7 linked regions of the Rattus norvegicus genome follow. The protein of the gene in region 1 purifies or fractionates together with the protein of each later gene. This does not show direct contact. Links are inferred from orthologs where the notes say so. Each region holds a gene or a part of one and is shown in the gene's direction. Other genes may lie near its edges.

What was found.
Region 2: the proteins of Fbl (region 1) and Rrp9 purify together in Homo sapiens (affinity purification with mass spectrometry; 3 studies listed by BioGRID and IntAct, counting the BioPlex papers as one, with this or other methods). This does not show direct contact. The link is inferred for Rattus norvegicus from reciprocal best matches to the Homo sapiens genes FBL and RRP9.
Region 3: the proteins of Fbl (region 1) and Nolc1 fractionate together in Homo sapiens (co-fractionation; 3 studies listed by BioGRID, with this or other methods). This does not show direct contact. The link is inferred for Rattus norvegicus from reciprocal best matches to the Homo sapiens genes FBL and NOLC1.
Region 4: the proteins of Fbl (region 1) and Dcaf13 purify together in Homo sapiens (affinity purification with western blotting; 3 studies listed by BioGRID, with this or other methods). This does not show direct contact. The link is inferred for Rattus norvegicus from reciprocal best matches to the Homo sapiens genes FBL and DCAF13.
Region 5: the proteins of Fbl (region 1) and Ddx24 purify together in Homo sapiens (affinity purification with mass spectrometry; 3 studies listed by BioGRID and IntAct, with this or other methods). This does not show direct contact. The link is inferred for Rattus norvegicus from reciprocal best matches to the Homo sapiens genes FBL and DDX24.
Region 6: the proteins of Fbl (region 1) and C1qbp purify together in Homo sapiens (affinity purification with mass spectrometry; 4 studies listed by BioGRID and IntAct, counting the BioPlex papers as one, with this or other methods). This does not show direct contact. The link is inferred for Rattus norvegicus from reciprocal best matches to the Homo sapiens genes FBL and C1QBP.
Region 7: the proteins of Fbl (region 1) and Tgs1 purify together in Homo sapiens (affinity purification with mass spectrometry; 3 studies listed by BioGRID and IntAct, counting the BioPlex papers as one, with this or other methods). This does not show direct contact. The link is inferred for Rattus norvegicus from reciprocal best matches to the Homo sapiens genes FBL and TGS1.

What each region holds. Positions count from the first base shown.
Region 1 is NC_086019.1:92,600,407-92,603,706, forward strand, and holds part of Fbl (rRNA 2'-O-methyltransferase fibrillarin), read left to right. Parts: intron 1-1,223; coding exon 1,224-1,406; intron 1,407-1,505; coding exon 1,506-1,708; intron 1,709-2,534; coding exon 2,535-2,705; intron 2,706-3,300.
Region 2 is NC_086026.1:115,994,815-115,998,979, forward strand, and holds the start of Rrp9 (U3 small nucleolar RNA-interacting protein 2), read left to right. Parts: upstream 1-1,365; 5' UTR 1,366-1,408; coding exon 1,409-1,504; intron 1,505-1,743; coding exon 1,744-1,826; intron 1,827-4,165. UniProt on the Homo sapiens protein: Component of a nucleolar small nuclear ribonucleoprotein particle (snoRNP) thought to participate in the processing and modification of pre-ribosomal RNA (pre-rRNA).
Region 3 is NC_086019.1:254,868,949-254,873,158, forward strand, and holds the start of Nolc1 (nucleolar and coiled-body phosphoprotein 1), read left to right. Parts: upstream 1-1,410; 5' UTR 1,411-1,462; coding exon 1,463-1,582; intron 1,583-4,210. UniProt on the Homo sapiens protein: Nucleolar protein that acts as a regulator of RNA polymerase I by connecting RNA polymerase I with enzymes responsible for ribosomal processing and modification.
Region 4 is NC_086025.1:72,055,882-72,059,381, forward strand, and holds part of Dcaf13 (DDB1- and CUL4-associated factor 13), read left to right. Parts: intron 1-210; coding exon 211-300; intron 301-671; exon of another isoform or gene 672-696; intron 697-1,852; coding exon 1,853-2,008; intron 2,009-3,500. UniProt on the Homo sapiens protein: Part of the small subunit (SSU) processome, first precursor of the small eukaryotic ribosomal subunit.
Region 5 is NC_086024.1:128,340,216-128,343,715, reverse strand, and holds part of Ddx24 (ATP-dependent RNA helicase DDX24), read left to right. Parts: intron 1-3,067; coding exon 3,068-3,500. UniProt on the Homo sapiens protein: ATP-dependent RNA helicase that plays a role in various aspects of RNA metabolism including pre-mRNA splicing and is thereby involved in different biological processes such as cell cycle regulation or innate immunity.
Region 6 is NC_086028.1:56,200,386-56,204,340, reverse strand, and holds the start of C1qbp (complement component 1 Q subcomponent-binding protein, mitochondrial precursor), read left to right. Parts: upstream 1-1,155; 5' UTR 1,156-1,156; coding exon 1,157-1,382; intron 1,383-1,809; coding exon 1,810-1,960; intron 1,961-3,642; coding exon 3,643-3,736; intron 3,737-3,955.
Region 7 is NC_086023.1:21,339,492-21,342,991, forward strand, and holds part of Tgs1 (trimethylguanosine synthase), read left to right. Parts: intron 1-1,423; coding exon 1,424-1,582; intron 1,583-3,500. UniProt on the Homo sapiens protein: Catalyzes the 2 serial methylation steps for the conversion of the 7-monomethylguanosine (m(7)G) caps of snRNAs and snoRNAs to a 2,2,7-trimethylguanosine (m(2,2,7)G) cap structure.

The sequences.
Region 1 (3,300 bases):
CTCACCACTGTCTCTAACTCTTTGACATCTTCATACAGATAAACATGCAGGCAAAACACTAATGTTCATAAAGTTTTTTTAAAAGAGATAATAAAAGTTTCAAAAACAACAAAAATTGTTTGAAGCTGTCAATGGGGTATAGTCACAGGGCTGAGACAAAAACTCGAGCAGGTTTTTACAGTTTAAATCAAGTGAGATCATTTTGAACCACCCCTAATCTTCAAGCTGTGTTTTCAGATAAACTCTGTGCTCCACCTCCATCACAGAAAAGCTAAATATCACCCAGTCCCATGCACTGCTTGCTGCTCTCTGGCTGGGGGCAAAGGGGCAAGCCCTGGAGCACTCCACTGCTGCCCTTCATCCCCAGCCCAGCTGTTCTCCTTTTGAAGAAAGGTCTCACCATGAGGCCCACTGTGGTCTCCTGCCTCCACCTCTCCGAGTGTTAGAGTCACAGGCATAGGCTGCTGCTACCCCTGGGGTTAAGCCCAAGCTGACATGCTGGTGTGCTCTATCTAGCCCACCCATCTAGACCATTGCTCATCCTTAAAGGGGCAATTTGGGGATTTTGTTAATTTCCCCCCTATGCTGGGAGGGATGGATTTAGCAGGACCTAGCATCAGACTGAGGGGGGGTGCCCTTTTATCGAGAGGTCTTGAAGATACTGTGAGGGCATCACAGATCCTGTTGCTATCAAGCATGTACATGTGGGGCTCCTATACGAGGGATAAAATGAGTTGTGTGAAGCTGTCCCACCAAGAAAACCAGAGTATCTGCATTCTGCCCATCCCTGGTTAGATAGTCTGCAGCATGTTCTGCCTTTAGTGGCCTCTTGCTGGTGCATCTCATAAGAGGGGTATGGTGCTGGACGCGGGGATGCAGGCCTGTAATACAGTACTTGGGAGGTGGGGACAGAAGAATCAGGATCTGTGTGGGGACTTCACAGCCAGCCTGGGATACCTGATACCATATTTCAAGAAAACTCTGATTGGGTTTAGTTTTCTGGGATTTGTTTCTTCCCTTCTGGGAGGTTCACGTTTACCCCTCTGTGCTGTAGGACTGATGATCACTGTCATTGTTGATTACTGTGTTCCGGCTATGGTAGACATCACCCTGAGCCCCGAGCCCTATGCTTTGCCAACGTCTAACGTTTGTGGACCTGACGGGTAAGGGTCCTTTAACTTCTTATGCTCCGTTGCCCTGACCCCTGTTTCCGTCTGTTACAGGTTTCAGCCCCCGTGGGGGCGGCTTTGGTGGCAGAGGCGGCTTTGGTGACAGAGGTGGTAGAGGAGGAGGCCGAGGAGGGAGAGGAGGTTTTGGCGGTGGACGAGGAGGCTTTGGCGGTGGAGGTCGAGGTCGAGGTGGAGGAGGCGGTGGCTTCAGGGGACGAGGAGGTGGAGGTGGACGAGGTGAGCGAGGTAGACATGGGGGGCTAGAGCAGGTTCTCAAAGGACATAGGAAGGGAAGACGTGGGGGCCTCCCTCTCCTACTGCAGCTCTCTCTTACAGGTGGAGGCTTCCAGTCTGGGGGCGGCCGGGGTCGAGGTGGTGGCCGGGGAGGCAAGAGAGGAAACCAGTCAGGGAAGAATGTGATGGTGGAGCCCCATCGGCATGAAGGAGTCTTTATCTGTCGCGGAAAGGAGGATGCCCTTGTCACAAAGAATCTGGTTCCTGGAGAATCTGTGTATGGAGAGAAGAGAGTCTCTATCTCCGTGAGTTCCGGACCCCTGTCCAGAGTACAGGCCCAGCTGATAACATTGCTTACAGTCTAGTCTTTTTGCTATTGTGTCCTACAGAGGACCAGGCAGGCTGTAGCTTCAGAGCTGCTGCAGATCCCAGCTCCCCCTCCCAATTCCCTGGCCTTGTCTTCTAGCTCCATACTAAACTGTTTCCTTGTCCTCTGCCTCTGGTCACACACTGCCTGCTCCTTCTGATGAGGCTCTTACATCGCCCTCCTTGTCTGAGCCGTCCTCACTGCCACAACCTAGCTCTCCCATGTCCTTGTCTCTATGGCCATCCCTAGGCTGCCTTGTTCATCTCCCACTCTGTGTCTGCAGTGTTCTTCCCGGGGTGGTGTGGGTGGCTCAAAAGTGTCCCCAGCCTTTCCTGGTCTGTTTCCCTTTTCACACTTTCCTTGCTCTGTTCTGATTTCAAATCCTCTCCTGGCTTAGTCTGTATAGCCTGTCACCTGTGCCGGTTTGTACTTAATTCAGTGACTTAGTTCAGAGAGTACTTACCTCTTAGGGCAGAATATGTGTTCTACTCACTGTTGTCCAGCACCTGAAACTGGTGCTAGGACAGGACATAGTGCCTAGTGCTTAGTTCTGTCTTTCACTTCCGTGTTTACTGTATGTTATTCCCTCCCCGAGTCTCCATGGGAGGGCAGAATGGCTTCTCTCCTGGTCCCTGCTGTACATCTGCATTTTGTTCTTACATAGTGATTAGAATGCACTTTCTTTTGAGGGCCCTAGGGTTACAGGGAATGATGCCCTGCACAAGAATCCAACACTGATTCTGTCCCCATCTCTCCTGGCTCAGGAAGGAGATGACAAAATTGAGTACCGAGCCTGGAACCCCTTCCGCTCCAAGCTGGCCGCAGCAATCCTGGGTGGCGTAGACCAGATCCACATCAAGCCGGGGGCCAAGGTGCTCTACCTTGGGGCAGCCTCAGGCACCACCGTCTCCCACGTGTCTGACATTGTTGGCCCGGTGAGTGGGCAGGTTATGGGGATGGAGGAACCTAAGCCAGGCTCATCCCTCATTCTGTGAGAGGGACAGCTTGAAGCAGAGTTCTTTCAGTACCACTCCTGCTTGTAATTGTGAACCAGAGAGTGTAGTCAATTAAAGTAACCCAGAGCTGGGAATATAGATACCAGACTATTTTGGTTGAAAAAGTTATGTCCAAGGGCTAAAAGGGGAGATTCAATCATTAAAGTGCTTGCCACACTGTCATGAGTACCTGATTTTGATACCCAGAATCCATTTTGAAAAACAAAACCAGTGTGGCAGTATACCCTCATAGGAACAGCATGAGAATGCAGCAACAGGCCAGTGGTCTCTGGCCTGCCGAGCCGTCAGCACCGGTGAGAGACCTTGTCTCAAAAACATGATGGGTCTAGCCTTTAGTCTCAGCACTGGAGAGGCAGAGGCAATAGATCTCTTGAGTTCAATGCCAGCCTGATCTACACAGTGAGTTCCAGAACAGCCAGGATTACACAGAAAAAGGAAAAACAGGGTTTCAAAAAAAAGAAAAAGGAAAAAAAAAGGATGGTTAGAGTTCCTGAAGGAGTGGTACCTAACATCA
Region 2 (4,165 bases), on another chromosome or scaffold:
GGGCAGGAGATAGGGAGCGTTCAGATTTGCCTTTTTTCTCCTACTCCTCCTTGGTATACAAATCCCCATCTTCAAAACTGCGCTTCATACCTCAGAGATGCTCCTCCCTAAGTTGCAAGTACAAGGTTAAGGAACCCCGGTCAGTTCTGCCCAGCCTGGGGCTAGGGAGAAGTTGCCTCCCTACTCTCTCCTGCTTGAGGTGTGCCCTGAAGTGGTAGAAAAAGTGAAAGCGGGCTCACCCCTCCCACTTCTGGGGCACCTCCCTTTCTAGAACATTTCCTCCTTCTGTCAGTCATCTGGCAAGGGCTGAATCATCTGAACTATAGGACAAGGACTCTATAAGTAGCTCTGCAGCCGGATCTACCTCTCTAGAGCTTAGGACCAAGTGGTGAAGAAGCCTTTTGCTAACAGTCTAGAGTTCTGGGGTGCCAGCCAAGGTTTCAGGTAAATGGCTTTCAACTAACTGCCAGAGAGCAAAAGCCACTTTAACCCGCCCTTCCCTGCCCTGTGGAGGACTCCAGGGCAGGGCCAGAGGACACTCACCGAAAAGAAACGGAACCTTGAAGAGGTGGCTGTTATTCTGTCTGGTATTAGGAATGCTGAGTGTGCCTCCTAAGAAACAAGTTCCAAGTCTGGGCTCCCATCTAGTGACCCTTCGTGAGCTTTCGGTTTGTCTTTGGTAGGGATTTCCCAGCAACCACCAGAGGAGGGGAAAGAGCTTAGGGGTGGTGTAGAATTCCAGTTATTTGGCCGCTAGTGGGGTGAGTCAGAGGCTGGGTAGGCCGAGGTTGGTGACCGGTCCTACAGATGAGAAGACACTAATCTAGACATATCGAAAGCCGCAGGGACTGACTCGCCCCTCATGTAGCTTTGATTAGGCACACGCAGCATGTTATTTGCCCAGTGAGTTTGGCTCTGGGTTCAGATACTGTCTCCTCTCCAGAGCTGCCGGAAATCCATTCCCTATGTTTTAAATGCCTGGCTGGGTTAGCTTTATCGCCGCCCCAGCGGGGGCGGCGGGGGGTGGGGGAAATCACAGAACCCCGCACCTCTAGCTCCCCCTTGTGGCCATAATATGCAAGCACAGGCATGCCCTCCTGGCCCCACCCCTCCCTGGAAGCAGGGAGTTAGCAGAGCGCAAGCGCCACAGGTCCAGGCCGGAAACAGCAGGAGAGACTTGCTTCCTACTCCAGGCTGGCGACGGAGCCTATAGGAGTTCTTGGAGGCGTGGCTAACTGAACCGGTCCAATAGACGATTGGAGGCGTGACAGGATCTTCTAAAGGGTCCAATGGAGCTGCGGAAGGCGGGGCCCGCCTCGCCGTGGGACCCTATCAGTGTTTCGGGTCTTGCCATGTGGCCGGGGTTTAGCAGCCATGTGAGTTCTTCAGTAGAGGCTGCGGCACCTTGATGAACAGTATGTCGACCGCCGTGGCAACTCGTAAACGGGCAAAGCCAGCTCCCGGGCCCGGGGCGGCCCCGGTGGACGGCAAGCGGCGGCGAAAGGTGAGCATGGAGTTTTCCTGGGCGCGACTGATCTAGTTACTGGGACAGCCATCATTCCATCCCAGGGCCCCCATCGGAGCATGTGTGTATCTTCTCCAAGGGCTCTTTCAGAAGGGAGCCTCCATCTCTTTTCTTCCACCCACCAAATCCTGGAAAACCTTCTGCTTGGCCAGGGCTAGGTGCCAGGTTCCTTTCTCAGTCCCGGGGCTCTTGACCAAGAAAGGATGTTGTATTTCCAGGTAGACTCTGCTGCAAGCAGAGGCAAGTCCAAAGGTGGCGGCAAAATGAATGAGGAGATTTCCAGCGATTCTGAGAGTGAGAGGTGAGTTGTTTTCTACCGAGAGAAAGGATAAACTGAGGCTCATGGTGACTAAAAAACTCGGTGCGACTGGTAACAGAGCTGGGTGTTTGGCTCGAGATCCTGGGTCTTTCCTTCAATTTCTGGCAGTGAAATGTCGTTTATCTCTGATGCGAGTCTATGGGAAGGACCCTGGGCCCCTGGGGGAGGGAGAGCCTGAGACCTTTTTTGGCTTCATGACATGGAGGCAGGCACAGGGCTGGATTGATTGAGAGGCAAGGGGTAAAGTGTACAGAACACATCTTAGTTTTCACACAGCACCACATGACTGGAGTCCTTGGACTCCATTTGAGATGAGTTTTGTCCAAATGATCCTACAGCTTCAGCTTTCTGAAGAATTAAAGCTAGAGAGTGTATTGTCACACATGTAGCCTTTCTAACATTAGGGACTTGTTTCACCGTTAGGAACACAGGGGAGCAGGCAAGTGGAGAGAGGCGGTGTAGGGAGGCGTGTGTCTTGGAGGCATGTGTTGTGAGAACGGAAGAAGCCTTTTTAAAAGTTGAGCCTGGAGAGATGAGGAGTGTGGTGGAGCGGTAGGGAAGAGGTTCAGGGATCCGTGACAAGTCTGGGGTGTTAGTGTGCCAGGGTGGGAGGCTGAAAAGATGAGCGGGCAGGTGACTTGCATATGGAGTTGAGGGAGGTTTGAAGTCTTCCTCATTCAGCTAGTCATGCGATGGCTACAGGGTTTCCAAGGATAGGGTGTTATACCTGGGGTGGAGATTCTTAGTCCCGGGAATCCTGAAACTTTCTGTATAAAAAGGATTTAGTAATTCTGTAGTATACCCCCAGATGGGATTTCTCTGTAGCAGCTATCCTGAAACTCACTCTGTAGACCAGGCTAGCCTTGAACTCAAGAGCTCTGCCTGCTTCTGCCTCCTGAGTACCAGGATTACAGACAGACCTGGCTATCAATTCTGCTTCTAAAAGTGAATATGTGTTGCCTTTTTTATTATTATTATTTATTTATTTATATGAGTACACTGTAGCTATCTTCAGACACACCAGAAGAGGGTATCAGATCTCATTACAGATGGCTGTGAGCCACCATGTGGTTGCTGGGATTTGAACTCAGGACCTCTGGAAGAGCAGTAAGTGCTCTTAACCGCTAAGCCATCTCTCCAGCCCGAATATGTGTTGTCTTAACTTGCTCATAGAAACTTTTTTTGAGGCAAGGACTTTCCATGTAGCCATGGCTGTCCTGAAATTAGCTGTATAGATCAGACTGGCCTCAACCTCAAAGACATCTGCCTGTTTCTGCCTCCAGGACCTGTGCTAAACACTTTGGTTTCTGTTTGTTTTTATTTGTGCGCGTGTGTGCGAGTTTGTATGCACTGTCTACATGCTGATGCCCAGGGAAGACCTGAGACATTGGATCCCCTGAAACTGTCATGTCAGGTGGTTGTGACAGCACCTGAGGGATGCTGGGACTGTAAGAGCAGCAAGAGCTCTTAGCCGATCAGCCATTTTTTTCCTGACCAATCTTTACCCACTCTTCAGTATTTTAATTAACTACAGAATCACCACCCCATTTTCTTCTGCTGATCTTCTAACATGGGCAAAAGTAAAAATAAATGTATACACACATTAAATTCAGGGCTGAGACAGTGTTTCTTTCAAAAGGGATTTTTTAACAAAGGGTGATGCTGGGCGTGGTGGTGTATACCTTTAATCCCCAACAACTGGAGGCAGAGGTGGACAGATCTCTTGAGTTTGAGGCCAGCCAGGGCTACATGGAGAAAATATGTCTTGGGAAACAAAACAAAACAAAAAAACAGAATTGCTAAATCCTGTTTATAAAGTCTGAGCCCCCTTACCTCTAACCAGCAGTCTGCTTTTCGGTGTGTGACCTTAAAGAAGAGTCTGATTGGGCACATTCAGGAAGGACAATAACTCTGGCCTTATTCTTCCTCAGACATTATTTATTTATTTTTTTTTTTTGGTTCTTTTTTTCGGAGCTGGGGACCGAACCCAGGGCCTTGTGCTTCTTAGGCAAGCACTCTACCACTGAGCTAAATCCCCAACCCCTATTTTTTTTTTTTTTAAAGGCAGGGACTTTGTAGCTCTGGCTATCCTGGAACTTGCTATGTAGACCAGGCTGGCCTCAAACTCAGAGAGATCTGCCTTCCTCGGCCTCCTGAGTACTGGGACATGCTCCAGGACACTGTTGTTCCTCACAGGTTTTAAAATCCCTTCTGGTGGAAGTCCTGGGCAAGGGTGCTGAGAAACAGCGGGTAGCAGACCGGATGTCTGCAGGCTTGTGATAGAGGGTGCAGCTGCCTTGGACTCCTGGCTCGAGAGTTCT
Region 3 (4,210 bases), about 160 Mb from region 1:
GAGGGAGCCACTGCACCCTGCTTGTACAGCCTTGTCATGTATCTGAACACTCAGGTATTTATGGGTTAACATTTACACCAATCCCTTTCTGGGTTCTGTAGAGTTGTTCAGACTGGACTGAAACCCCAGTTCTCCTGCCTACTCTCTTACAGTGACAGCCTGTGCATGGAGATATTTTAGAATACAGACACTTGTGGGATGGAGAAGATACAGTTTTGGGGTTGGTTTTTTTTTTTTTTTTTTTTTTGTTGTTGTTGTTGTTTGTCTTCTGAAGCCAGGGTTTTTCTGTATAAACCTGACTATCCTGGATCTCACTCAAGGGATAACTGCTTCTGCCTTCAAAGTGTTGGGATTATAGTATTTCAAACTCAAAAGAACTCCTCTTCCTCCTCCTTTGCCCCACCCTCCTCTCCCTCTCTCCTCAGATCTACCTACTTTTGTCTCTCAACCCTGGGTTTCAAGGCATTTGCCACCAAGCCTATGAGAATAAAAGTTTTCTCAACTGGGGTTTGTGTCTATTAAGTGTTTCAGGTAAGCTCACCAATTTAATTTGATCACCGTCCTGGCGCGTGGATTTTTTTAAAAAAATTAATATGGATGGATGGATAGAAGCACCTCCTCTGGGAAATAGGATAACATTTCTTTTTAGAAGGAGCGACTGTTTTGAGGAAAGTAAAAGGTGTTCACAGGAAGTGCATCTTTATTGTTTCGTGAGGGATAACTAATGTGACCTGGAAAATAGCTGATAGTGGAGTTTTCAGAATTCAGTGTGACTTCTGACTTAAGGAAGAAAGGGTTATTGAGTCCCTTGATCTTTTCTCTGGAATGAACCCGTGCTCTCCTCCCCCTTTTCGAGTTGTGTATGGTTGGGATAACAGTCTTTAAACCTAGCTGTGACTGACAGTCAATGTGGGATACTAACACCTTTGTCACCACAACTTTTAGGATTGCCTTATGATTTGAGTCTCACTGGGTGTGAAGGATGTGAAGAAGTCATTGTTGGTGGGAGCTTGAGCAGTAGACGACACCTCTAGAAAGGTGAAAGAGACTCGAGTTCTCCATTCCTTTGATTATCGTGGGGTCTGAATAGCAGCCGGGGCTTGGAAACTACGTTTCTATAGATAGAAGTCCATTCAGCAGAGATAATGCGCGGGAAGTTGCAAGTTTTCCCGCCTCGGACGGGAGCGTGACCTCTGACGTAAAGCTCCGCCTCCTTGGGGGGGAAGGCTAGTGGGCTCCGCCCTTTACAGGATGACGACGCGTGTGAGACCGGAAGGAACTTATAGATTTCGCATGCGTCCTGCCTCCGGGGCGGAGGGAGCCCTGCCTCGTGGGGGCCATTCTTCCGCTGCGCGCCGCGCGACGTGATGACGACACTGGGCCCGCCCTCTACCCTGGCTGTGCTCTGGAGTTCTTCAGTCGTACCGCGTGCGCAACGGTAGTGACGCGTTTAACCCGGAGTATGGCGGATACCGGCTTGCGCCGCGTGGTTCCCAGCGACCTTTATCCCCTTGTGCTCGGCTTTCTGCGAGATAACCAGCTCTCAGAGGTGGCCAGTAAATTTGCAAAAGCGACAGGCGCTGTGAGTCCTTGGTTTGGTTTGCGGGCCGGGGTGGGACGACTCTCCAAGGTAGTCTAGGCCTTGTCAGGTTTAGAAGTCAAGAAATCGAGGTCTGGGGTCTGTCAGTCTAATGTCTGTGAAGCCTCTCTGCCGACCTTTCTGAGGCTTAAGGTCTCGGCATCTCTTTCCATCACGTCTGACTAGCTCCGAATCTTACGGCTTTTGGTGAGTTTTGCAGTGGTGGCAGGCATGGGTCCCTCGTGACCTAGGACATGTGGCGATAGATCCCTCCCGGAGCATTGGTTTGGCGGTGCCTGCTTCTGCTGTACTTTTTGTTGGACTTACACTTGGTTGCAGTTTTACCTGAGACTCAAAGATAAATTGTTACTAGTGAAGGCTAGGATCCTATTTATTTATACACTTTAAAAAATGAGTGAGTGCAGGGATAAACTGCGTAGCAATGAAAACTAGGATATCATTATTTATTTAGTTACTTAATGAATGAGTGCAGGGATAGGCTGCTTTCAGTATACCATAGAAAGCGTGAGCATCTTTCCCTGTCAAGTTGGCACTGGGCTTGGAGCTTCAGGTAGTGATATAAAGCAAATGGAGGCTTAGGCCAGATCCACCACTTTCTACATTGATGATCCTGGGCATCCTTTTATTTAAAACAAAGTTCAACCCTTTATATTGTGTATAAAAGTCCTTGTAGAGTGGAAGATGGATGTAAACTTCTGTCCCTCTTGCCTCAGCCTCCTCATCCTAAGCATGCCTGAACATAGCAGGATGCCATTTTGGTTTTTGTTGTCAAGACAAGAGTTTCTCTTTGTGTAGCCTTGGCTGTCTTGCAACTCACTTTGTAGACCAGATTGTCCTTGAACTCAGCTCTCACTCTGCCTACCAAAAGCAGGGATAAAAAGGTGTGCTCAGCCCTATTTACAGCTTTTGAGTGAATGAGATTCACCAAGCGAAAAATACACAAGCCAGTAATCTCATTGTAGACACACAGGGACCATGGGATGAGTGACAGCTATTGTGTCACTTCAAATCCATGTAAGAGCAAAATTAAGTGAAGGAATGTGAAATGTCTCGTCTGCATCTTAAGAAAAGCTGTAGTGTTCATGGAAACACCTTGAAAGACTGTGTAGACTTACGGTCTTTTTTTTTTCAGGGTGATAGCATAACTGACAATTTAGGTTTCTTCTGCTTTATTTCTATTTCTATTTTCTATGTCTCATCGTGTAACCCTGGCTAGCCTGGAACTCATATGCAGAGTAGACTGGCCTCCCAGAGATGCCCCTGCCTCTGATTCCTCAGCGTTGGAATTAAAGGCTGCACCATCATAACTGCCTGGTCCCCTCCTGTTTCTGTGGCCATTTTTGACCTGGCCTTGGCCTTATGATCTTCCTGCCTTAGATCCTGGGAATCTTGGGTTACAGGCCACCAGACCACATAAGAGAGTTCTTTGAGCCAGGGCAGCCTGGCATGTGATCTGATGATACATGCCCACCTGTTCCTGAATGGTCTTAGCCGATGGACCTTCTTCCAGTGCCCCTTACTCCTCCCCGCCCTTCCTTCTTTTTTTCCTTTTTTTCGGAGCTGGGGACCGAACCCAGGCTAGGCAAGTGGTCTACCACTGAGCTAAATCCCCAACCCCCCCACCCTTCCTTCTTAAGACATGGGGTCTCAATATATAGTTATGGCTGTCCTGGGGCTCACTGTGTAGACTTAAACTCATCTCTACTTGTCTCTCCTTCCCACATGCTAGAATTTAAGGCATATGCCACCACACCTGGAACCTTTGTTTGCTTATGTATTCTCTCATGCACGTTGGTGGTTTGCCTGCATGTAAATGTGTGTGATGTGTTAGATTCTGGAGTTCAGACAGTAGAGAGCTACCATGTGGGTGCTGGGAATTGAGCCAATTCTCCAGCCCCGCCTTTCTGACTTTTTTTTTTTTCCTTTCTGACTTTTAAAAGTCAATTGTTTAGGAAAAAAGTTAATAGTTAGAAAATATGAAGCCACAGGTGTCAGGATTGCGTGGATCTGGAGTTAACAGATGTGGGCGCTGGTAAAAGTGTGGATGGAAAGGCATAGGAATAGCTATGCTATAAAGTTTTCATGTTCAGTGTTAGGTGATATGTAAGTGGAATATTTTTCTCCTAATTTATACAAGTAGGAAAAGTCTTAAGATGTAACATCCATTTCAAATTGAGTAGGTAGTTAAAATAACTTTTTTTTTTTTTTTTGGTTCTTTTTTTCGGAGCTGGGGACCGAACCCAGGGCCTTGCGCTTCCTAGGTAAGCGCTCTACCACTGAGCTAAATCCCCAGCCCCTTAAAATAACTTTTTAAAAAAGATTTATTATATATAAATACACTGTAGCTGTCTTCAGACACACCAGAACAGAGCATGAGATCTTATTACACATGGTTGTGAGCCACCATGTGGTTGCTGGGATTTGAACTCAGGACCTCTTAACCACTGAGCCATCTCTCCAGCCAGTAAAACAACTTTTGAGACAAGGTCTCTTTACATAACCCTGGTGTCCTGGAACTCTGTATATAGTCCTCTTGGGCCTTGGCCTCACAGATCTGCCAGTCTGTCTTCCAAGTGCTGGGACCATGCCAGGCTGACAAATTACATTGAT
Region 4 (3,500 bases), on another chromosome or scaffold:
TCATACTGGGCTTTTTGTTTTGTTGTGGGTTTTTGTGCTTTATATATTTGTTACAAATTTTTGTTATGCCAAAGTAGAAAATAAATGCATCGATAAATGTGAAAATGAAAGAGTGGTGTATGTTACTATTTGAAATGAGAGACTTGGCAATTTGATATTTGTGTTTACAGTTACTGGTCATTAGACTCATCATAAAATAACTGTGTGTAGGTCGGAGATGACAAAACTGTGAAGCAGTGGAAAATGGATGGACCAGGCTGCGGAGAGGAGGAGGAACCGTTGTACACGGTGTTAGGAAAGGTACCGAACACATGGAATGATGCTTGTACACAGTGTTAGGAAAGGTACCGAACACATGGAATGATGCTTGTACACAGTGTTAGGAAAGGTACCGAACACATGGAATGATGCTTGTACACGGTGTTAGGAAAGGTACCGAACACATGGAATGATGCTTGTACACGGTGTTAGGAAAGGTACCGAACACATGGAATGATGCTTGTACACGGTGTTAGGAAAGGTACCGAACACATGGAATGATGCTTGTACACGGTGTTAGGAAAGGTACCAAACACATGGAATGATGCTTGTACACGGTGTTAGGAAAGGTACCAAACACATGGAATGATGCTTATACACAGTGTTAGGAAAGGTACCAAACACATGGAATGATGCTTGTACACGGTGTTAGGAAAGGTACCAAACACATGGAATGATGCTTGGCCTATTAAAATTCTGTATCTCTTTTTGTAATTCCAAAAGGGAAAAAAATTAACAGCTGAGATGGTTTGTTTTTAATAATAATGCAACATTTTATGTGATTAAAGTTCTTTGAAGCTAAAGAATATGAACATCTCTTTGGTGTTCTTTGTAACAGAGTCTGACTTCTCGGTGGCTAATAAATACTGGCTGTGTTAGGTCATACAAGTCATATAGGGGATGCAATGAAGTAGTTCTTAAAGGAAGGCCACAGAAGAAACTGCGTAAGATAAATGTTTGGAAAATAATGGCTTAGTTTCTCTCTGGTTTATATCTTCATAGATCTTAGACAAAGCTCAGAATTTCTCAAAGAAACACAGAGTAGTGTATGCTTCCTGTGTAATCTTAGACTTCTCACAAATTGTTCTCCAAGTCAGATTGGGTCAGTTAGAGCCTAAGAGTGGTTTGGTTAGAGCATGTTTTACGTAATGACTGCTTATATTCTTACGTTACACAGACAAAATCCTGAAGTTAGGTTTACTCTTTAGATATGTGCCTTTGAAAGCCATCATTTATTTCATTATCACACTAGTGTATATGTAGGTGATGTTTCAGGTTTCAACAAGTCATCAATATTCCTAAAGGGAGATGGAGGTAGGAAATGTGTGCAAGATGGGAAAATGCCCAGGTGTAACAAATTAGTAATTCCAAAGCAAATTCCATTTCATTTTTATAAAACGCCTTAGCATTTTATGATACTCTTTTTCCCTTTAAGGAAGGGTCTCAAAGAATTTCTTTAGGGGTTGGGGGGGGTTGGGGATTTAGCTCAGTGGTAGAGCGCTTGCAAAGCCCTGGGTTCGGGACCCAGCTCCGAAAAAAAAAGAAAAAAGAAAAAAAAAAAAGAATTTCTTTAGACTTACTCTAGGGGGAATACCATGATCAGTTAGACTTTTTTTCAAGGTGAAGCTATTGCATTCTGGATATGCCAGCCCTGTGACTTTCCAAATGTAGGTGACTCAGTTGCACAGTTGTGGCAGAAGGTGGTGGGAGAGGAGGGGGGAAATGTCTTTGTAGCAAGAATTTCTTTAAAAAATTTAAATATGCTGATTTAAAGTAGTAATGAGCCTATGTAACACGCTCTTTGCTTTTAAAGACAGTATATACTGGCATTGATCATCACTGGAAAGACCCGGCCTTTGCCACGTGTGGACAGCAAGTAGACATTTGGGATGAACAAAGAACCAGCCCTGTGTGCTCAATGAACTGGGGATTTGACAGTATAAGTAGTGTTAAATTTAACCCTATTGAGGTAATGGTCTTCTTAATAATGTGTTCTGATTATTGTTTGCCATGAAATTGTATCCCTGTTTCTACACTTTAATGGCTTTCTAGCTTTAATGTGTTGTCCAGGTTATATCTGTGTTCTGTGAAATTTCAGCTGCACATCAGAGTAGACTCCAAATGAATACTTGGCTCCTTTTGGTTTTGATTTTGAGACAGACCTTGGATGGCACAGATGGGTCTTGAGTGTGTGGTCTTTGTGCCTAAGCCTCACATTAACTTTACTTTTCTGTGCTTTCCATGCTCTTGTTTCATCAGATTGTACCGTTGTGCTTTGAGGAAGATGTTCCCTTTTCTTAAGCCTCTTGGCAGTCATGAGAGTGAGCATTGAACATACTGTCCATATTTATAATAATATGCATGACCACTTGTGGGCTGCATGATAATTACAGTTATTAGGTCTTCTTCTTTTGCTTTACAATCTGAGTTTCTTCCTAGTCTCAGTGGACTTGGAGGTGGGCTACTGCATGCTATATTTGTATGTGAACTTAAGAAGAGGGGCTGAACTGGGGGCTAATGTGTCCTTGGGCTCCAGATCTTTCTCTGATCTTTTTTTGAACACATAACAATAATGACCCTTATTGTCCAGAAGACTCAGTCAAGATGCTTTTTCTTTTGCCTCAGTGTTAATAGGAAGTTACCATGTTAATTTTTATAAGAGAAAATCCTGAAATGTAAATTTTGTACTCAGAGGCCCAACGTGGTGAGAGAGGGAGGGGAGGTTAAGCCGAGGTGGCAGAGTGTTCTGACTGTTCATGGGGTGCTGTTGGGACATGATGTGCTGCAGTACAGTGTGAGCTTGGCTTGAAGTGCTGCCAAGAGGCAGGCAGACAAGGCTATCCTGCACTAGCGTGCTCCTGTATGCATGCTTCTGTGTGAGGCTACATACAGGTCTAGAGCAGGGACTGCCAGTGTATTCCCCCGCATGTTTAAAGCCTTTCCAGAACACAGGCAGACCCTCTTCCTGTATATCTGCGGCTGCTTTTATGCTACAGAGGAAAAATTGAATAATTGCTCAGGGAATCACTTGGCTCATAAAACCTAAAATACTTTCTTTCTGTTTCTTTATGGAAAAAGTTTGTTGATCCCTAGTCTGGGATTTCTGTCTGAGCTCTGTGTTCCTGGCTGCAGCCTCTCTCTCACTTCCCATATTCACTCTGGTTTTAGAAGTGAGCTCCGGCCTTGAGAGGTAAGCCAGCTTTAATGAGCTTGGCCTTGAACACGAGAGAAGAACAGGCTACAGTTACAAATAACGTGTTAAAGCCTGCCTTACCACCCACCTCATCCAAGTCATAATTCTCTGTATTTATTTGTTTTAAATAGGAGATTGACTGTGTCTCTGATTGTACTTTATAGGTTTATTGTGGGAAAAATTGTGATGATAGATATGAACATTTTAAACATCTTAAAGTCCAAGGTGGCAATTTGTCATCAAACAACAGTAAACACAGATAGTGATT
Region 5 (3,500 bases), on another chromosome or scaffold:
AGCATTTGGGAATTTGGATGTTTGGGTTGTGGTACTCAACTTGAATTAGGAACTTTTTGAAAACAAAAACCATGAAGGTTAGTGCCTTTAAGAAGCAGAAGGGTCTGTGAGTTTGAAGTCAACCTGGTCTACAGAACAAGTTCCAATCCAGCCAGGGAGATGTAGACCCAGTCTCAAAACAACAGAAAACAAGATGTTTGTAACTACAATGCACTTCTGATAGAACAGGTTCTCTTGAGGTTTTACCAAGCCAACTATTTCTCTACCTCAACTGGAGTCAGATGTCCTATAGTGCAGCTCTCTTCTGACATACCTGGAATGAAAGTCATTCCCCTGTAAGCTCTGTTCCGAGTCTTAACAAGACTACTTCCTTATTGAGCATCCCCTAGTCCTGATTTATTCAGCTTCAGATTAAGGAGCCCATGTTACCCCCACCCCCAAGGGTTTAATACTTTTCTCAATGACTCCCAGACTTCATGGAGAAGTGTTTACAGGCTTAAAGGCTATATAACTTGGGAATAGCCTGGTAGAGATTGACAGGGCTAAACATTGAGGCTAGTAAGAGGGCAAAGGGCTTCTGTGCACCCATTCTGGGCATGTCACCTTTTTATGCAGTCTCGAGCCTGGAAGCTTTTTAAATTGTTTGTAGTGTTATAGGGCTTCCATTATATGAGCATGATTGATAAAAACCTCCATCTTTGGAGATTGATCTTCAGTCCCTCTCTCTGGTGGTCAGGAGGGGTGTGTGTGTGTGTGTGTCTGTGTGTCTGTACGTGCATGCGCGCGTGTGTGCATGCATGCGGGCAGAAATTCCAGCCCTGCAGCCACCAGTTCCTATCTTGCAGTTTTCTGGAGACAATTAGTCTTTAGCTCACAGTCTAATTAATTTACAAAAAGACCCTTTTGAGCGTCTGTGTCTTACACCAGGAATGTAGAGGAAAACTAAATACCACAACTAAATATACATATCAAAAAGTGCCAAGGGTTTCATTTCAGAACTGCGAATGAGACCCAGTATACACTCAAGGCACTGTCTGGCTCCTCTCTTGTAGCCAGGCCTTTGCTGTGTCTTTCAGTGTTTGCTTTAGGGTCACAGACTACGTCACAAGTTGTACATATGCATCTACTGTAGTTTACCCTCGAGTGATACAGTGCCTCATGTGTGGCATGAGAACCTCTCAAGGGCTAATTTCCATCTCCCCTTCCTTGGTGCTTTTTGTTTTGTATTTCTGTTTTTGTGATGGAAATTCTAAAATATGCTTTTACTGTTTTGCTGTAAGCAATTTTTTTTAAAGAGGTTTAAAAAGAAAACAGTTTCTTTTGTTTTTGTAACTTCTGATACACTTCAGTTCCTATGTGGATGGATATTTCCATGGCTGAATGATATTTTTCCTAAACCACCATCTTTTGTCTGCCTGGAAGACTTCGGCTTGCATTCTTTATAGCACAAAAGTAGCCTTTGTTTTGTATTTTGTCTTAAAGGAATTTTTTCTAGATAGTTCTGATTGTCAGTTTTACTTTTCTGAGATTGTTAAATACGGATGCTGTTATGTTTCGGCTTTTACTGTCTTTTTTTCCCTTAAATTTTCCAGGTGTTTTGTGGTTTTTTGTTTGTTTGTTTGAGCTCTTTCTTCTAATGCTTTGCTTGTTTGGTTATTTTTCACTTAGAACTGTCATTTTCTTTGAAAACTTCATAAAAGTTTTTTCTCCCTTTTTTCAAAGTTTTAAAAAACATTTATTTCTGTATGTGTATACATTGATGTATAAGTTTGTGCAAGCCAAGGCCTGTTTATAGAGGCCAGAGGACAACTTGTGGGAGTCAGTTCATAACTCCCACCATGTAGATCTTGGGAGTGGCCTCAGGTGCTCAGACTTAAGTGGCACCGGCTGAGCTGAGCCGTCTCACTGGCCCATTTGGCCCGTCCCCATCGGAGCTCTCCGAAGCTAATGGCTGGGACTGTTTTTCTTCCAGAGCTGGTGCATTGACTTTGTCTGGGGCATTCTTACCTGGCAACTTCAGTATCCAGGAAGGACACCTTTCAGGTCCCCTAGAAGATCCCCCAAACACAGATGAGATAGATACTGCTGAACCCTGTTTGTATTGTTTCCCCTGAACATTTATAGATTGAATGTGTTTATATCTTGAGCATTCATGCTCCATGGTCATACTTTCTGCAGATTGATATAACAGCAAAACTAACATAAACTTCTTTACAATTTCATGGAAAGAACATTCATTCATATTGTAGATCTTAGTAACCAATTCATGACTTTTTTTTCTCTAAGTTCGAGAATTTCGAGAAAAACACTTTACAGCTTCTAGCTCTAGCCTGTCTGAGTTGCTCATTGGGGTAACTACTCTCAGGTGGTAGGACCAGTAGATAAAGTAAGAGCTACCTGAACATAAGCAGGGCGCATAGTCTGATAATATTCATGGGTGGGTAACATTTATAGTGGGACAGAAGGAAGACTCCTGTCTTGTGTAGATGGCGCCAGGCAGTGTTCGAGTCCCCTTACTATTTGGAGTGATATATGGCTTAAAACTTTTGAAATCCTTATTTATGGGATTATCAGTTTAATAACTTCTTGGACCATAAGTGACCATGAGTAGCTGAAATGCAGAAAGTAAAATGAGTTAAGGAGAAAATCTCTACTTCTAATTCCTGGGTTGACCCTTAGGTGTTATGGGCTCCATTATGCCTTCAGAGGTCAGTTTGAAAACACTCACGCATAAAGTCAAACATGTTTAGATTTCTGAAAAGAGTGATTTATTTTATTCCTTCCTTCACTGAAAAGGGTCTTAGGGATATGTGCTGTACAGATTCTCCACAGGACAAGACTGACCCTTCAGGCTTTTATGGTTTCCTCACTTTGGTGTCTCTGGTGACTTCACACTGCACCATGCGTGCTATCCCTGTGCTGGAGGACCTGTGTAGAGTGCTGGTGCTTTGGGTCAGTCAGGGAGGCACGTGACTCTTTGAGGTTTCCTTATTTCTATGCAAAGGCAGGAACTTCAAACAATGACTTGCGCATCATGGATTTCTGTTGGTCTTGCTTTACTTCTCAGGAAGCGGGAAAACGCTGGCTTTTGCCATCCCGATGATTCACTCAGTGTTGCAGTGGCATAAGATGAAGGCTCCACCCATCCCAAGTAGCGCTGGAGTGCCACCGAGGTTAGGAGCTGCAGCCCATCGTGGCTCACCTTGCAAGGATGGAGCGAAGTCTGGAGTATTGCCTGAAGAGGCCACAATTGAGACTGAAGCACAGCCCAGTGACTCTGGGGTCCAGGCCACAGCCAAGGCTGGCGCTTCTGCTGCCTCAGCCCAGGCAGGGCTCTTCTGTGATGATGATGCTGGTGAAGGGCCTTCTTCCTTAGTCGAGGAAAAGCAAAGTAAGGACAGAGAAGAAAAGTTGGATGAAGAGCAGGCTGGAAAGTTAAAGCAGGAGTTGTGTGACCAAATTGCTGTTTATAAAGTACACCCAAGGCGCCCTCTGCTTGG
Region 6 (3,955 bases), on another chromosome or scaffold:
TATACGATCTGTGTGGCCTCTTATTTTGGGCCTCCTTTCCCTTATTTAAAGAATGCTGTTTAGAATATTAAACAGTAGTTTCATTGCCATTCATTCAGTAAGACTCGGTATCCAACATTTGCTTTTGGTGTTTTGAGAGGTCTTTTATGTAACCCTGGCTGTTCTGGAACATGCTGTGTAACCAGGCTGACCTTAAACTCGGCTGTTTGCCTCTACCTCCCAGATGCTAGGACCAGAGAGCATGAGCGGGGTTTTTGGGGTGTGTGTGTGTGTGTGTGTGTGTGTGTGTGTGTGTGTGTGTGTGTGTGTGTGTGAAATTCGGTTGGTTAAATTTTGTTTTTGTTTCTTGGGTTGGGTTTTGGATTTTGTTGGTTTTGTTTTGTGTGTGTGTGTTTCTAATGTCCTTGAGAGTTTTGCCTGCATGTCTGCACTACGTTCGTTCATGGTGTTGGTAAAAGTCAAAAGAGGGTGTCTGCTGCCCTGGAACTGGAGGTAGATGGTTGTGAGAAGGCGTGTGGATGCTGGCAATAGAACTCCAGGCCTCTGTAAGAGCAACAGTGCTCTTAACCACTGAGCCCTGTCTCCAGCCTGTTATCCCTGATTCTCAACCTAAATGTGATGATGAAAGCCATCTATTCCTGCTCCCCCCCCCCCAAAAAAAAACGATGGTCCATTAAAACCGGTACACGAATTGTTAGGGGGTGCAGAGGTTTCCAGCATAAATCCTTCATCCTGTTCTTGGGATTCTGGGTCTAATGTGAGGCCTGGATGCCCACTCCACAGCAGCTGCATGCAGGTCAGTCTGAGCTTTTCAGAACTAGGCGGTTTCAGAAGACCGCTAAGTGATCTTTGTTGGGATGAGACCTGAGCGTATTCCACGAAGTAACAAAGTGTGGCTTGGGTTGAGAAAAGCAGGTGAATTGGGGAGAACGGGCAGCAAGGGAGATTTGATGGCCAGGGTAGAATACAGCTGAGCCAAGGCCTCTCGGGCTGCGCTGGCGGCTCCCAGCAGAGGGCGCGGTGCGGTCCGGCCCGGGTACTGCAGTCCTCCGACGTGGATAGCGCTTCCCGGGCGAGGGCGGGGCTTCCGGCGGCTCGCGAGGTCACACGGTGTCTTGGCCCGGTCGTCCTTCCCTTTGCACGTGTCCACCCCGCGATGCTCCCTCTGCTGCGCTGCGTGCCCCGCGCCCTGGGTGCCGCCGCCACGGGCCTCCGAGCCTCCATCCCGGCCCCGCCGCTTCGGCATTTACTGCAGCCCGCGCCCCGGCCATGCCTCCGGCCCTTCGGTTTGCTCAGCGTACGAGCCGGCTCCGCTCGGCGCTCTGGCCTCCTGCAGCCCCCGGTTCCCTGCGCGTGCGGCTGCGGCGCTCTGCACACGGAAGGTAAGGTTCACGCACCCTAGTCGGAATGCGGCGATCCAGCTCGGAACTGGCCCTCATGATCGCAGGTTCCCCTTCTCGCGTCTTGAAAATGTGGCTTAGCAAAGTCGGTAGGGTCGTGGTTTCAAAGTGTGGTTGTTGGGTCCACGTCTTTTTGGACATGGAAGAGGATAGTTGGAAATTCTTTTGTTTTATACGGGAAGTAATAGTAATGAGTTCATGATGAGAAATAACCATCTCATGATAAGTAATATCAGTTCAGCTCAGTAAATATATCCTGGTGTTTTTATAGAGTGAGGAACGGACGTTTTGAGGCGTGATTTACGCTACAGTCTTAGAACAGCCTTAAGAATAGATTACACGCAGTCCGAGTCAATCGGTTAGAGCAACTACCTTTTCTCACTGTTGATCATTTTGGCCTTTCTTTTAGGAGACAAGGCCTTTGTTGAATTTTTGACTGATGAAATTAAGGAAGAAAAGAAGATCCAGAAGCATAAGTCCCTTCCCAAAATGTCTGGAGATTGGGAGCTGGAAGTGAACGGCACGGAGGCTAAATTATTGCGCAAAGTTGCCGGAGAAAAGTAAGTACTGGCCCAGGGGTTGTATACTGGATTCTCAAGTCAGAAGTTCCTGGTTACAGCATCCTGTTCTGACCATCCCCAGAAGAGCCTGAGCTTAGGCCCAATGCTTTGATAAAATGGCTTTAAGAAAGCATTAAACTTGGGAAAGTTCTTAGGTTCCAGGGAGTGCATTCACTGAATGAATACAAGCTTCTATGGCTTGTATTAAGGAGACCTGAAGCAGCTCCAGAGTATGTAGAGGGAAGCCTGTGGGAGGGGCAAACGCAGTTATTGGGTTATTAATGAGGGGTGCTGTGCCAGTCTGGATTAAGCATTGGGTTGTTGTTTTGTTGTTTAATAGTACTGGTAAATCATTTGTTTAGAACTCCCGTCTGGCTTGTGTTTATAATAGTTGAAAGTGCACGTGTGTAACTGTTAAGTCACAGGAAGAAGTTACCATGTAGAAAGGCCATCAGACAAAGGGAGAAGGTTCTTAGCCAAACTTAGCTCTTCCTCTCCTCAAGGGATTCGGTTTGAGACAAGGTCTCTGTGTGGCTGCTGTGTAGCATAGACTGGGCTCAGACTCTGGGTCCTGCTGCTTCAGACACCTGTGTGCTGAGGTTGCAGACATGCGCCACCACACCTGGCACCCCTAAAACCGTTAAACCCTTGTCTGTGCTGTTTCGTGTTACCCATTCACCCACAGTCTTCCTTGGCTAAGTCTACTTGGACTCTTAAGTGCTTCTCTAGCTTGTGTGAGGCTCCAGGATCCATCCCCAGTGCTTCAGGAGCACAGTGTACAAGAAAGTTTTATTGGGGGTGCGGGGGTTTATAAGCTTAGCAGTAAGTGTGTGTGTGTAGATTAGAAAGTTCAAGGCCAGGCTGAGTGTCGGTGGGGCTCACCGCCTTTAATTCTATCACCCTGGGAGGCATAGACAGGTAGATTTCTGTAAGTTCAAAGCCAGCCTGGTCCACCAGCAAGTACTAAGACAGCCAAGGCTACACAAATAAGTCCTGTCTTGAAAAACCAAAATAAGAGAGGGAAGGAGGGAGGGAAGGAAGAAGTAGGTTTAGTCTGGGCTATCGCAGGTTGTACATGCCCTTTGGTTCACCTTGCCATTCTTTTTTCGGGGGCAAAGTGGCAGCAAGGCATTGCCCAGTTGGACTCCAGGGAGCAGCCCCCAGTACACTCTTCTTGGGTTGGTTGGCCCTCTGAATCTGTGTAAGCGGAACTTCTTTTCCAGGTGTTGAGACAAAGGAACTGTCTCTGACTTTAGAACAGGTGCTGTCCATCACATAAGAATTCTTACAGTCACACAAGGGCCAGGGTGCAGCTGTGAACTTCCGCCAAGCATGGGCAGGGTACTTATTTGAGCTCCAGAATCCCCCCAGAAGGGAAAGAAGCCACTAGGTGTTTCAGTTCCTAGTTTGTGGTTGTGCAAAGTGAATCTGCTCTGCAGTGGCTGTGAGGCTTTCCGGGGCAGATGGCTGTCCACCTCCATTAGCTTCCATGGGAAGACCCCAGGACACCAACCTGGCAGCTTCATCCACAGCTGTAGTCATTTAACTTGTAGGTACACTTCAGATGAAATTCTCTTCACTTCCCTGTGTGGCTAGGATGGAGACATTGTTTCAGTGGGCCTTGCTCTCCTGTTACCACTAGGTTAATGTGTACCTTGGTGTATCTCTACCTGCCTTTCTAGGATCACTGTCACTTTCAACATTAACAATAGCATCCCTCCAACCTTTGATGGTGAAGAGGAGCCCTCACAGGGGCAGAAGGCCGAAGAGCAGGAGGTAAGCAGTGACATGGCAGACAGCCAAGATTTCTGTCCCCAAAAGCAAGAACTGTTTCACTTTCACTCTTTTTAAAATCCTCCCTGCTAGGGTGAGGTGAAGGGTGAGCCTCCTGAGACCTGTAATGCAGTCATTCCGAGTGAGTTTTAGCTGGAGTTGTGGATGGACCATGTTTGTAGAGTGTTGTCCCCTAAGGGCTTAGGGTTTATCACGGGCCTG
Region 7 (3,500 bases), on another chromosome or scaffold:
AACATGCTTGGTTTAGTTGACACCTTTCCTTTGGGTAGGCACACATGTACCTAAGTCTCCTGTCACCTATCTCCTGCCTTGTTACACTGTAGACTTCAAGTGTTCTATGGTCTTTCATTGCCAGTGTTAGAAGAGCTGACATTCATGTGCTGCTTGGGCGCTGAGGTGGGTGACAGCAGTACTTTTCCCTCAACACTTTTGGCTATTTGCAATGACCTGATAGTCCTAACCTTAGAACATCTGAATGTGAGAGGGCTTTATTCTCTGTCTACTGCAATCTTGTTTGTACTCTGGCAACTCTCTTCATCTACAAGTAGTGCTGCATAGATGCTTCTAATCTTCCGGAGACTTGAACCTGATAATCAATTAATAATGTGTTTTTCTAAATGTTGACTCACCATACTTCTGAGACACCTTGTGTTATATGGCCAGGGCTAAAGCTTAATGGGCCTTGGAAAGATGTTGTCTTAAAATGAAATGTGACCCTGCTAACACACCTTCAACCTCAGCTTCTCAGGAGTCTAAAAGCAGGAGGACCACAAGTTCAACACTAGCCTGGACAAATTAAATTACCCAACCCTGTCAATGGATGGATGCTTGCATGCATATGTTTGTCTACCGCCGGGCACTAAGTTCAATTCCAGGAATGTAATAACAAAAAAAGTAAAGAAAAACATTTACATTTCTGTAATTCACCCACTAAAACAATGTGGCTGTCGACAATTTTTAGACCTGTATTAGTGCTTTTGGTATACAGGTTGGATATCCTGTGTCTGATACAGTGGGGACCAGATGTGTTGTAGGATTCTGGTTTTGGAAGATTTCAGATGTTTAGTCCTTACCTCCCATCACTGCTGTAAATGAAATTAGTAAAGTACTGTGCATTCCTCATCTGTTCCTTTTGTAGGAGTAAAATTAAAGCTTACAGGTCTGGAGAGAAGGCTCCAGTAAGATGGCTGCTTGTCCAGAGGAATGGGTTCAATCAGCACCCACCTGGCAGCCTGTAACTGTCTGTAACTCCAGTTTGGGGGTTCCAATGCTGTCCCACAGATATACATACAGGCAAATCACCAGTGCACATAAATAAAAAGAAATCATGAGAGAGAGAGGGCAGGGAGAGGGAGGCAGGGAGGGAGGGAAAGGGAGAGGAATGAAAAGAAAAAAGAAATTAGCCAATAAATGCCAGGGCCAGTGTGGCGGCAGAGATCAGTGTCCACACAGGCAGTTTTCTCAAGCCAATAAATGGCAGTCGGGCTGTAATCTGAAGCAGTAGTGCTCTGTTTTGCTCTGATTCTCTGCATGTGTCACTGCACGTGTGGTCTGCTACAGTCCAAGATGTGATTATTTGACATAGCTGCTGTTTACGAGTTCCCTAGTTCCATTCTCTTTTCATGGTCAGCAGCTGTATTACATTCTATTTTAGTAGAAATAAAGAAGAAAAAGAAGAAGAAGAAGAAGAACAAGAACAAAAAGATAAATGGCCTACCACCTGAAATAGCTTCTGTTCCGGAGCTGGCAAAATACTGGGCCCAGAGATACAGGCTTTTCTCTCGCTTTGATGATGGGATCAAATTGGACAAAGGTAAATAAAATATAGATGTATTGTTTAGCTTTATTTAGAAGCCACTGTAGATTTACAGAAAAATTGTAAAAATTTTCATACCATTTTTACCTGGATTCAGCTATTTCCAACATTTATAATTTGATTCTATGTGTGTTGTCTTTTTCTGATCCAGTCACATAGATCATGCCACTCCCAGTTATTTAGTATGTATTTTCTAAGAAAAATGGTTTTTGCTGTAATAATAAATAATAATAATAACAACAACAATGGTAATAGCAATAAGACCTGGGACCAGTCCCTTGTATGGGAAGGTTAACCAATGATAGTAAATTATCTCTGTAACTCATGTTTTCATAAAGTAGTGTGATGTGCGTTTAGCTGTTGTGTTTTCTTAGCTTCCTGTAATCTGTAGTAGCTCCCCGGACTCTCATACCCAAGACTTCTCTTGAGCCAGGCAGGTACTTTACCACAGAGTTACCCCTGCAGCATGATGTTGACTTCTTTCGAGGAATGATGGTTCATTGCCTGTGGAGTATCACTCAGTTGTGCACATATGACCATCTGTGTTCTAATTTCAGATTTAACTTGTATTTGTAGCAACTTATGCAGGGTAACAGAAGTATGGACATCATTAAAAAGAGCAACTGATGAAGATATACCTAATACAGAAACTTATAATTAATTAGCAGTGAAAACTTGAATTCTTCATTGAATTTTCCTTCTCTGATTTGCTTGCTTATTTGTTTAATGTATAATTATTGCTCTGTTTTCATGCATAAGAGAAAATCATATTTCATTACACTGAGGTTAAGGAAAGGGGATTTCTGAGAATTGATCCTCAGACCTCTGGAAGAGCAGCCAGTGAGCCGTGGCTTCAGGTCCGTGTCCTTCCCTACCTCCATGATCTTAAAAGACAATTTAGTCTCAGAGACTGACACTGGTTTTTATATTGAGAGGTCTTGATCTATTGAGGAGTTAAGTGATTCTATGCCACCTGTGTAATTTGTAAAAGAGTGAGTGCTATAGAAAGTACATGGGAATTTATTAGGAGAACGACTGGGGAAAATAGAAAACGTTCACTGGAGGTACTGAAGAGCCATTTAAAGGTTTAGTAGGTAGTGAGAACAGAAACACTTGCCCATCATTTTTTTTTCCCAAAGAAAGTTCCTTCTGAGAAATGCAGGTTCTTTCTGATAGAAAGGGAGGGTAGTATTTTCTTCCCTCCAGCTAAGTGTAACTTCATTTCTGAACATGGCAAGGGTTCTGCTATTCCTTCTATGCTGAAGCAGCCTCCTAACCACTGGCTACTGCTCTTTGCTTTCTCTGACATTTAAAAACATGGAAATGTGGCACACACACCATGGACAGACATACATGAGGGCAAAGCACTCACAAGTAATAATAATGTAGCGAAGACTCTTCCACCTACGTCCTAGTTAATAACAACTCAGAGGCTTATTCCTTATTTCTAAAGGCTTAGGCCTAAAGCTAGGCTTCGCCCTGGACTAGCACATAACTCAGCTAACTCGTTTACACCAATCTGTGTCTGCCGCATGGCTCGTATGTTACCCCAAGTCCTGCAGGTGGCAAAACCGTTTCCCAGGGTTCCTCTGAGATGTCTCCCTTTCCAATCCTGCCTCAGCCTATTGGCCATCAGTTTTATTGAAAGGTGATGCTTATACACAGTACACTAGAGATCAGCCCTACGTGAAATATTTTTTGAAAATGTAAATGTTCATAAAGTGTCAATAAAAACTGAATCATCGCCTGTCCATTATAAATAAAATAGTTGAGAAAGTCACTGTAGTATGGGAGGCAGTTAGCCATTTAGAACTTGCCGATTCCCATAGCTGATGAGCAGTAGTTAATGCCGCAACCAGAAAAATCGCAGTTCTGATCGATTACCAGAGAAATGTGGAAGATAGCATACAGACGC